Rhinolophus ferrumequinum: one gene and its partners. The protein of the gene in region 2 purifies or fractionates together with the protein of the main gene of each other region. This does not show direct contact. Links are inferred from orthologs where the notes say so. Each region holds a gene or a part of one and is shown on either strand. Other genes may lie near its edges. The genes, in order: LSM12, NUFIP2 and ATXN2L.

What was found.
Region 1: the proteins of NUFIP2 (region 2) and LSM12 purify together in Homo sapiens (affinity purification with mass spectrometry; 3 studies listed by BioGRID and IntAct, counting the BioPlex papers as one, with this or other methods). This does not show direct contact. The link is inferred for Rhinolophus ferrumequinum from reciprocal best matches to the Homo sapiens genes NUFIP2 and LSM12.
Region 3: the proteins of NUFIP2 (region 2) and ATXN2L purify together in Homo sapiens (affinity purification with mass spectrometry; 4 studies listed by BioGRID and IntAct, counting the BioPlex papers as one, with this or other methods). This does not show direct contact. The link is inferred for Rhinolophus ferrumequinum from reciprocal best matches to the Homo sapiens genes NUFIP2 and ATXN2L.

What each region holds. Positions count from the first base shown.
Region 1 is NC_046304.1:39,192,835-39,196,578, reverse strand, and holds the start of LSM12 (protein LSM12), read left to right. Parts: upstream 1-905; 5' UTR 906-1,041; coding exon 1,042-1,165; intron 1,166-2,957; coding exon 2,958-3,091; intron 3,092-3,744. UniProt on the Homo sapiens protein: Nicotinic acid adenine dinucleotide phosphate (NAADP) binding protein. Confers NAADP sensitivity to the two pore channel complex (TPCs) by acting as TPC accessory protein necessary for NAADP-evoked Ca(2+) release.
Region 2 is NC_046304.1:18,309,510-18,313,253, reverse strand, and holds the start of NUFIP2 (FMR1-interacting protein NUFIP2), read right to left. Parts: upstream 2,912-3,744; 5' UTR 2,789-2,911; coding exon 2,512-2,788; intron 1-2,511. UniProt on the Homo sapiens protein: Binds RNA.
Region 3 is NW_022680357.1:1,220,110-1,223,853, reverse strand, and holds the start of ATXN2L (ataxin-2-like protein), read right to left. Parts: upstream 2,346-3,744; coding exon 2,044-2,345; intron 1,696-2,043; exon of another isoform or gene 1,540-1,695; intron 1,440-1,539; exon of another isoform or gene 1,300-1,439; intron 1,186-1,299; exon of another isoform or gene 1,056-1,185; intron 1,037-1,055; exon of another isoform or gene 940-1,036; intron 843-939; exon of another isoform or gene 676-842; intron 529-675; coding exon 492-528; intron 290-491; coding exon 233-289; intron 147-232; coding exon 75-146; intron 1-74. UniProt on the Homo sapiens protein: Involved in the regulation of stress granule and P-body formation.

The DNA of each region.
Region 1 (3,744 bases), about 21 Mb from region 2:
AGACATGAGGCTTCAGAATTTCTATATTGGGGGAGGGGAGGTAGGTAGGTTAGGGATGTCTATTGGTGATGATAGAGCTTGAAAATTCATCTGCATAGTACTTACATGTACTATAGGTGGTCCCTCAAACTCCTGCCCCAAGGCACCCTTTGTCACTACCACTGCTCCTCACTCCCACTCTTGGCTTTCTAGAGGGCAAGACAGGAGATGCTGAAGAATCTTGAGTTCTAAGGGTGATGGGTGATCATGGAGGAAGTACCATTTATCTACTGCATACCGTGCATTTATACACTTTATCTCATTTAATTTCCTAACTACTTTATAAGGCATTATCTAATATAGGTAGTGTAACAGTAAATAGCACCGTTTTTGGAAACAGGTAGACCAAATCCTTGCCAGTTGTACGACCCTGGCCAAGTTTAGTTTCTTCATCTGTAAAACGAGGGTATTGATTCTTACCTCAAAGTGCTGTTGGACGCTCAATAAGTGTTCATACAGAAGACATAAAGAAATTTGATCAGGTTTAGTAATTTGCTCAAGGTCATGTACCATGGTAAGTGGCAGACCTGGGATTCCGATTCCAGTTTAGCTAATTCTATAGCCAATGTTCTTTCCACTACCACTTTGTAACTTGGTACCTATAATCATTTTGGTTAAGTTTCGTGTTAAGTCTTCTGGGCCTCGGGTTCCTCATGTGGACAATATAGAGTTAATTCATTCAACTCTTTTGTCAAGGTGCGCACATAATGGAGATTGCAGCTCCCTCCTCCTCCCCCTTTTCATTCCACGTAGTCATTTATCTTTAACTTCTAAAACGTACTCTGCAAGAACTTGACAAGGAAAGCGCAGCTGTTTGAACATAATTATTCAGATTCCCCTTTATTTCCTCTTCTACCTAAGGCTCCCGCCCCACCCAGAGCCAGGCCACGCCCTGGCGTGTGACGTCAGCACGCCCCGTGCGTCGCGTCGCGGCGCTCACTGGGGGCCCGGCTTTCGCCCGCTGCTGCCGCCGCCGCCGCCGGCCGCGGCTGCTCTCCCAAGATGGCGGCTCCTCCGGGCGAGTACTTCAGCGTTGGGAGCCAGGTGTCGTGCCGGACGTGCCAGGAGCAGCGGCTGCAGGGCGAGGTGGTAGCCTTCGACTACCAGTCCAAAATGCTGGCTTTAAGTATCCTTCCTTGCGCGGAGCCCGAGGCCGGGCTGGCGTGTGTGTGCAGTGGTGGGGGGGTGGGGGACGACGGCGGCGGCTGGGGCCCTCCGGGCCTAGGGGCGACCGGCTACCCCGGCGCCTGGAGCGCATGCGCACGGCCCTGAGCTTCCCCTCCCCCTCTCGTGGGTCCTTCGGTCTGCTTTGGGGACCCTGTCTTCCATCCCTTGTTGGAGCTGGGACCCGAGCGAGGGTCGGTGGGTGGCTTGACACGCGGATGGCTTTTCGGGGTTAACGCTGTGAGAGGGGGCACAGTGATCAGGGGAGGAGGTGGTCGTGGGAGGGGGGTGGGGGATTGGAGCCCGGATGGAAGAGGGGCGGATAAAATGTGGGGAGGGGGTGTGTAGAGTAAGGAACTGCTAGTAGGGCAAGGGTATGGAGTTTAGAAGGGGGTGTCTGCTGATTGGATTTGGTCCAAGGAAGGGCAGTGGGCTCATGACCAGATGGGCCTCGCCTGTTTGGGGGGAGAGGAACTGCAGGGTAGGGTTTAGATTTGAACTGGGGATGGGGGCTTCTGCTTGTTCGCGTGTATGCCTGGTGCCAGTGGGGGCGGCGAGTGCTGAATTCCAGGTTTCCTAGTCATTAGAAAATTGCTGTTTGGGGGATGTTTGCATTGGGAACCTGGTCCAGAGAGAGGACCACGTTTTTCAGGACTTAGGTAGGGATGTGTGGGTTACAGGTGAAAGAGTAAGTTATCTTCTCTTGCTCAGCCCAGCACATGGAGTCCTGACTTTTCCATAGACATAGCCTCCCCTTTTGAAAGTCAGTATTAAACAGAATGGAAAAGGTGGCCTGCTTCTTTGGGGTGGAAGTGATTTCTGAATTACATCAGGAAACTCAGTCTTGGAAACAAAATACTTCCTGGTTGTAATAAATGTGCCACCCCTTCCCCTTTTATTTGAGCCACAGGTGGGTTTATTTGGATTTTTTTTTTTTTTTTGAGTAACCCTTTATGGCATCTTTTAAAAGGAAATGTCCTACTGAGTCTGCTACAATTGAGCGGCAAGTATTTTAATTTATTTAACCAATAGTTGTAGATTTCTAGCTTAGGAAGATGTCTTCTGAAATAATTACAGCAAGAACAATTGCTTTTTTTCTTTTTTAATACAAGAATTCATACCTGGACCAAATAAGACCTTTAATATTAGCAGTTTAGTTGGAAGGGTTTGGGAATGAGGAATTAACTCTGCTTTTAATTGGCATACAGTATACTCTTAATAAACGGTGGGAGAATGAATGAATGAATAAATGGGTTAACTAGCCGTGTCACCTTGAGTGGGCTTCTTTTTCAGTGTTGTAGTTTTCTTCTCTGCAAAATGGGAAATCTCAGATCTGAAAAAGTGAAAAGAGCACTGTATGGATAAAGGGAGTATTACTGCAAGAGCAGAAAGCACTGCCTCTCCTGAGTGGTCCATTAGGTTCCAGACAAACAGTATACATAAGGCATTAAAACTGCATTATGTCGCTCTGTAAAACTGGTAGAGAGAAGGTGACAGAAATCCTTTGAGGCTTCCAATTTTGGATCATTATATGGCTTGGAAAAGCTTGAGATCTTTTGGTTATGGGGTTGAGCGGGAGGACAGTGACAGGCAGAGATTTCCTGAAGACAGCTGTGATTCTTTTGAGGCTCCCCACTCTTGTTCCTGGCATACCTTTTACACAAGCTTTGTGTGAATTGTGTTTTCCATGCCCGGTTTGGGATGTGTCAGTTCTCTGCTTGCCCCTATTTTCCTTAACTTGATTTTCTTACCAGAATGTCCCTCTTCCAGTGGAAAGCCCAACCATGCAGACATCTTGCTCATAAACTTACAATATGTTTCAGAAGTGGAAATAATTAATGACCGAACAGAAACCCCTCCTCCCCTAGCTTCACTCAATGTTAGTAAGGTAAGGATTTGAGGGCAGTTCTGGCTCTCCAAAATGGGGGGAAAATTGAGTCTCATTGACTCTTGGTGATACATACATTGTCCATTGTTTGTTTTCCATTTTTTCATTGAATTACAATTGCTTGTTCTGATATCTTTTTAAAAACATACCAGTTTAGTTTTATTCCTGGGTATTTTCAGAAGATTTTAAGAAACATCTTAATGCCCAAATAGAGAAATAGAGTTGAGAGCTTGCTTTTGTCCTTGGTGAAAGAGGGTTTGTTTTTTTTAAAACCTGGAGTCCATGCGTGAACTTCTAGTTGGTGGGATTGGGTAGGGGTGTTGCCTGTAAACCTCCTGAAATTGTGTATGTGTGCATATATGAATATATGTTTCTCCTGGGTGAAGATGCAGAGTGTTTTTCAGATTCTCAGGGATTCCAGACATACACAAATTTGAAAACTACTGCCTTAGAGCTCCGTTTTGGTCTTTATGTTTGAATTTTTAGGTCTAGCAAAAATAGGGATTTAGGATATTTTAATCTTGGATGTACAAATTGATCTCTGGGAACCCCCAAATCACTTTTTTGACTCTTCAGTTCTATCAAAGTTCGTGTTGATCAATAATAATAAGAATACTCTAAGCCTTATTGTAGACTTTGCTGTCCTCTGTACT
Region 2 (3,744 bases):
CCATGCTAAAGCATCTAACCCTACTTCAAATGGACCCAACAAAACTTGAGTCCTGATAAATCTTGCTTTTGGATTAGAAACTGAAATTATTGAGCACATTTAACCCTCTCTTGCGCCCTCTTCTGGATAAAGAAAATCTTCCTCTTTATAGGTTTGTGGGTAATGGGTCAAAAAAGCCCACCTGAACATACTGGATATATTTCAAAAAACCGGTTTTCTTAGTAAATTAGCATTATGCATGCTGAAGCAACAGTAATGTGACTAGGCCGCACATGAAAACCTGCTCATCCCAAATTGTTTATGTTTCTCAAAATTGCTAAGCCCAGTTTGAAGGATGCCACCTTGAACGGTTCACGATCTGCTTCTATATGTAGAGAGGAGTCCTGACGGTATGTATTAATACGTGACCAACAAAATAAAATTTTCCAATCTGAGCAGTAATACTGCCTTATATTCCAAGCAACCATAAGGGAACATTTTCTCACCTTTAAATTGAAAAAGATGAAACGTTAAAAAGATCTAGTGTTGTAGTTTTTAAACTGTTCCAAATCCTTAGGATTAAGCACTCAACACATCTATATATTCATTTCTACTGCACACCATCAGTCCCTACCCCTACCACCTTCAAAAACGGAAGGCCTGACATTTCAATTTCAGTCTTCAAATCACATTAAGTCTGCAACAGAAAAGCAGTGTTTCTCCCGCTCTCAGTAACAGCTTGTATCACATTTGATAGGCTAGGTTTAAGATTCATTTTCTTACCATTCCCTTCATTTCTCTTCAATGTATAAAGAACCCCTATTTTTAAAAATTCCCATGCTTATAAACTTTTAAGTTCATTTCTTCTCAAATATTTTCTAAAACGACTTTTACCCTCAATTTAACGATTGTTAAAAAAACAAGAGTTTTGGGATCAGTAAAGGTTTGAAAAGGGGAAAACACCGTTCCTTTCAAAATGGAAACAAACCTCCCTTATCCGAGGCAAGATGGTAGTGAACCAACCTCACGGATGAGCCATCTCGGTTCACCCTTAAGGACAAGAAATAGGGGTCAAAAAAACTCGCCCCGTACGTACCCCATCCAATCATTTTTCGAATCGCTCGCCTCAAAAATACTACCCATGCCCTGAAGGTAAATGTTGGGGGTGGGGGAAGTAGAGGGAGATAGAACAAGCTTTTCTTGTAAAAACGAACTGCTAGAAGGAAAGGGCCCAAGTGAAAGCCTGAGAGCCGGAGTCGTGAGCGAACCTGGCAGAAGATGAGGTTCCTGTGGCAGAGAAACTCGTGACCCGGGAGCCGGGTTCCCGCTGGGTACCCCACCCGGCCTTCAGGCACCGCCTCTACCCAAAATGTGCCCCCCCCACCCCCAGCCCTCCTGCCCCCGAGGGGCGCCGAGGACCCTGCCCGCGATCCGCGGCCTCCTTCTCCCTCCGCTCTGCCTGGAGACCCGCGCCCCGGCCGCCCGCGCCTCCCGCCTCACCCGGGAGCGGGAAACGCGACGGCCGGCGCGCGGGGCCCAGCGCAGGCCGCTCCCCTCGTGGCCGCTTCCCTCCCCCACCTCAACCGCCCCCGCCCCTCACCCCAGGGACCCGCCCGGGGCCGCGCGGCAGCCACCGGGTTACACAACCCAGCCGGCGACTGGGGGAGGGGGGCCACGAGCCAGCAGCGCCCCCGCAGTGCAGGGGGGCAAGGCGACTGCCGGTGGGGATCCTGAGCTCTCGGCTCCGCCGCGCCGGGTGCCCCTCGACACCCTTCCCCCTCCGCTGCTCAGTGCGCCGGAGTCGGTGACAGGAATCGGCTTCCAACATGGCGGACAGGAAGCGGCCCCGCGAGGAGGAGAGAACATTCCAGCCGCGCCGGCTCTGGGGGGAGCGGGCCCGGAGAGCCGGCCTCGGGAGGAGCCACGGGGTCCGGTGCCCAAAAGGGGCGTCTAGGGATGGAAATGACCCGAGAGACTAGGGGTCCCAACCGCCCCCCCAGACGGGAACCCCAAGGCCACAGGTGGGCTTGAGGTGGCGGTGAGGACACTTCTCAACTCTGCCCACCTATCCTCTCCTCGCCGCCTGCAAAAGGGTCTCGCGACACCACCAGAGTCGGGATTCGCTAGGCCTTTCTGAGTTACACCCTGAAGGATTTGGGGGGCTAGGTTCACCCCAACTAAGGGCCCCCAAATTAAGGTCCCCCCAGGGCCGCAAGAAGGTAAACGGGAAAAGAATAACAACGTTAGACTTCCAAGGCCGACCCTCAGGGTCTTCCTCCAGCCCCGGCGGGGGCCGGGAAGGTCACACTGGCCTGGTTGGGCCTCTCCCATGCTGAGAGGAAGGAGGGCGCTGCAAACCCCGCGGCCCAGCCCGAGATTTGGGAGAATGAAAGGGGGCTTCCCCAGACTCGCACTACACACTGACACTCGCAGCACCCCGACCCGGTCCGCGCTTTCCGGATCCAGCCCCACCCCCATCGCCCCTACCCCCCACCCTGACTCCCCTTCCCCCACTCGTCCTCCCTCCCAGACCTGTTTTCTTCTTCGGCGTTTCCTGGTGCTGCTGGAGGGCGTGTTTCTGCTCATGTTTCAGCGGCTTTGACTGGGCCTTGGGGCTGCCATCGGCTCCATGCTGTAGGTATTGGTGAGGCTGCTGGTGATGGTGGTGGTGATGGTGGTTGTGGCTGTGGTTGTAGAAATAATAATGGTGGTGGTGATGCGACTGCTGCTGCTGCTGCTGGGGGTGATGGTGTGGATGGTGGTGGTTGTGATGGTGCTGAGGCTGTAGCTGGCCGGGCTTCTCCTCCATTGAAAGCGGCTGGGACTCCCTGGCTGAGGCTGCGGGCTGCTGCACCGTCAGGATCTGAGACTGCTTCTTCGGGCTCACTCAGTATATCTGAGCGCGTCTCGCCTGCGCACTGGTTAACCGAGCGATTCTGCGAGATTGGCAGGCGTGCTCCAGCAATCGAGAGGCACGCTGCGCCGCAGGCCCCGCCCTTAGCCCAAATCCTCTGTCCTCCCCCTTCGCCACAGCCTCCTGGCCAACGCCACTTACCCTGTGCAACCTCACAGGGCTGGGCCTTCAACGTCAGCACTATGGCTCTCTCTTCTGTCGCTTTCTCTCCTTCACCATGCAGTCTGCGAACAGCACTTTCTACACTCCTCGCCCACAAACAAGCTCATGTCGAATGTCGGCAGATTCTACGGGCGATTCTACTGGCTTTGGGAGCCATCTGTTGGTTTTGCACCTCGTAGACTCTGTTGGCTTTTTTTTAAAAATCCTTTTCCGGGTAACCGGAGGGGAAGCGCAATTCCTTAACCCTGAGACCACTAAAGGGGCAATACAAAAAAGAGGAAGTAAATAAATACATTTTTAAGAATACAGGAACTTCACAAATCTGCAGATCATTTTGTATTCTGGATTCATTTTGCTTTGTATTCATATGCTAATCTCTTCCTTTCCAGGGAGGGATTATAGGGTTCCACAATGGGGTATCTGTGTAATTTTCTAAAAGGGCACAAAGGGTTTAAATCATTGTTTCTTTGTAGTTGGAGGCAATGGAGAGCGGGAGGAATGAAAATCTAAAATTTACACAGAATTAGTTGTTTTTTTTAACTGCAGGTAAGGTCAACTGTGAAACCAAGATAGATTTTAGAATATGAAGAGTTTCAAGAGGAAAAGAGCACTTTAAAAGTTAAGTTTTTTTTTTTTCTGCATTTATGTAAAATACCGGAATTTGAAGAAATATTCTTGCGTTTTGTAAT
Region 3 (3,744 bases), on a different chromosome or scaffold from region 2:
ACCTTCAATGAACTTTTTTCATTCTCCTCCTCCTTGCACGCACTCGAAAACTAAGCTAATTTGAGTACACTGACCTTTGAGCTCAGAGTCTTGAAAATACCTTCATAGGTGGTGCCATTCTTCACCTTTACATCACAGGTGGAGCCCTGGGACAGTGGGAAAAATAAAAACGTCTCCAGCAAACAGAGGAATCACTCTCCTCCAACCACCCAGGGGTTAGGCTCCCACTTACCACCACAGCTGTAAGGAAGTGCAGCATTCTGGAATTGTTGTAGACACCCTCAAACACCTGTCAGTAACACAGGAGGAACAAATAAAGAGCCAGACAACACCTCACCTTCCTTCTAAATATCCACACTCCACCCCCCCACCGAAGTACTATGTGCTGAGACCCCTGCTCTTCTGAGCCCACCTGACCATATCTACAACTAATCGGTCCTATATTCCCACCTAGGTGTCTTTTAAGTCTTGGGGTGGGCAGAGGCACTCACCGGTGACTGTGGGGGTCCCTTTCCTGTGCTTTGTCCCCTGTGAGAGAAGGAAACAAGAAACTAATTTAAATCTGTTCAATGCCTGACACGACTGATTTCAAAGGACTTGGTATCCCAGAACCACAGACCACGTGAAGATGCGGATCTAGGCTACAGTGAGTCAACGTAACTTTCAAACTCTCACCTTATAGAGGAAGAAAGGCCTGGGCAGTATAGCCAGTAAACACATTGCCTCCAAACGCCGGGAAAACACATCGCAATCGACCCCTGTTGTCAATTGCTTTTAACAGTACATCCTACACCACTGCCTCGCTTTCTCCAAGGGGCCTGGGCTGCACGCTTCCAACACACCAACGCTCCAGCATTCGACAACCAAAAACCCACCTCCGACATAAAAATGGAAGCTCAGGGAGTGCAGACGCGGAAGTCCCTGGCTCAGGCACGTTACCTCCCAAACCGAAAAGACAATCATTGTCAGCAGCCTGACGCTCCGATCCTGGGAGGAGGGGACTCCCTCCACAGCCCACCCTCTCGACCTCCGGCCTCCTTCGGCGCGGTACCCACTGTGGGAGGGGTCCTCGATCGCCTGCTAAGCCCGCTCCTCGCTGGCTGATGTAACCGGCGGCGGAGGAGGGTGATGAGGGGGCCGTTGGCGGGGCTGGGGGACAGCGCAGCCGCAAGAGCCATCCACCGGAGGCCTCGCCCGGTCTGCGCCTGCGCACTAAAGCCCACGGGCCTCTTCAAAACCCCCTCCCGCGATCCGAACCCACTGCGCCTGCGTGTTCCGCCACGCTCCATTCCATTAACCCATACTCCGAAGAAACCGAGTGGCGTGTCCACCCCTCCATCCCGAAGCCCCTTCGCGCACCCTCCCGGCCACTGCCCTGCATGTTACCCTGGACTCCCGAATGCCTGGGTCATAAGACAGAGCATCCACGCGCACGTACGTAAAGAGCGCGCGCGCGCGCCGGAGGCTCCCGGCCCGCAGACCTCCCAGTGGTCTCTCCTTCCGTCCCCCCGCCCACCCCGCTCCCCTCCTACTGGCCAGACCGGGGAGGAGGAGGCGGCCACACGCTCCCAAGTCCCTCCCTCCCCATTGGCCAAACTGTGGGCCGCGCGCCCCCCTCCATTGGCTACGGCCGGGGACCCCTTCCCGCAGCTGACTCCCCATTGGCTGAAGCCGGGGACCGCGAGACCCTCCTTGGTAATGGAGCCGGGGACCCCAGATCACCTCTTCACCCCCCAACTCCGGGCTCCGACGGCGCTGCCGGGAGGCGCCCTGCCTTCCCCTAAAGCCCGGGCCGCGAGACCCGACCAGGCTCTGAGAGCTGAGCATGGCCCCCGAGTGTCCCGGCAGCTGCCGGGGGACCCTTTTCCTCCGACCTGTTAGGACCTGCGGGGGCCCATTCCCAGCTCAGGGGGGGTGGCCCACGCCCCCTGGCGCCCCTCAAAGGTGGCCAGGCTAGGAGGCCGCCGGGCCGGAACCGAGCCGCCGCTGCCTGTAGCCTGGGCTCCAGCGCCCGGAAAACCACCCCGCGCCACCCCTTCTCACCTGGCGCTGCCGATGGCCGCTGCCCCTGGCCTCTCCTGATGTTGCTGCTGCGGTGGCGGCGGCTGGGGCGCCAAGATGCCCTCGGGTCCCCGGCGGAGCCCGCTCCCGGCAGCGGCTGCAGGCCCCAGGCAGGGGGAAGTGGCCGCGGGAGGCCCTGGGGGAGCCGAGGTGGAGGCCAGGGGCGCCGGGAGGCCGCCGTTGGGAGGGCTGGTGCCCCCAGGAGGCCGGCGGGCCACGGCCTGTTGCGTGGGGGGCGGCTGCTGGGGCTGGGAGGTCTGTTGTGGCGGCTGAGGCTTCAACATGATGGCAGCGTCCGGAAGGGGAATTAGGGGGAAGGAAGGGAGAGAGGCCGGGGCTAGGCCCCCACCGGAGAGCGCAGGAAGCGAGGGGAATTGGGAAGCAAGGGACCCGCCGTTGGCGGGCGGGCGGGCGGGGAGCCCCGCGGGGTCGGGGTTGGATAGAGAAGACCGTGGCGCGAGAAAGCGCCGCGAGGCGGAAGGGGAGGGGGTCTCGCGGGCCAGAGGAAAGCGAGAGGGCGCGAGCCGGCCTGGCGCGCGTGCGCGTCGCCGGGGGAAGGGGGGGAGAGGGAGGAGCGCGCGGGCGGGAGCTCCCGAAGGGGGAGGGGCGGGGAGGGAGCGGCGGCGCGGGGTCCGCGCGCACCGGGGCGGTTAGCGCCGGCGGGGAAGGAGAGAAGAAAGAAAGTGAACCTCGCGCCCCTAGCCTTTGGAATGGGGAAGGAGCAGCGCGGCGCCCACGCGCGCCGAGAATTTAAGGTCTCTGGGTGTCTAACAGCCCCCAACGCTGCCAGCCGCTGTCGCTTCACAATGAGCGTGTGAAACGCTAGGGGAGGAGCCGAGGCAGCCGAGGAAGAGCCGGCCGCCCCGCCCCCTCCGCCGGCGCAGCGCTGGGATGCCTCCGCAGCCGTGGGAGATGCGCACGACGTAACGTGCAGTTCTTCCGCCACTTGGGGGCCCTTGGGCGGAGTCAAAGTGCAAAAAAAAAAAATCCCGGGACTAGACAGGCTGCTGGCAGGTTTCAGGAGGAGCTACTCCCGACCTTATCTGCTTTAAAGAAAAGACTGGCGGGCATTACAGTTGCCAGGTTGAGCCCGGCGGTGTATTTTAAACTTCAGTGGTTTTCAAACCTACATGGTTTCTCCATGCCCTAGAATGAACCCTTAAACCGGAGTAATGAAAGGAAGGCCAAAGTACAAAATGCTCCACCCAACTGCAGTGAAGGCAGCCTTCATTCATTTAAAATGGCTAGATGCTCTTGATACAACTGTAATTAAACCCTTTGCCGCCCTCAGGGAGTTCAAGCTGGTGGTAGATTCAGACAATTAGGTGAGATCTATAATACCGTGTTCCCCCGAAAATAAGACCTAGCCAGACACTCTGCTCAATGCGTCTTTTGGAGCAAAACATATAAGATCCGGTATTTTATTAACTTTTGCTCCAAAAGACGCATTAGAGCTGACTGTCCCGGTAGGTCTTATTTTTGGGGAAACCCGGTATTAGGTGAAGCACAGGGCACTAAGAAAGCAGATAGGAGTGACCCCGGATTGGGTGATGGATTTCTAGGCAAGGGGGAATGGGATGTGACAAGAAAACTTGAGCATGGCTGGAGAATAAAATTAAAGAGGGAGGTTTTAAAAAATGAAACCGGAGAGGTAAGTAACCTGGGATCAGATTTTTAGGAGAG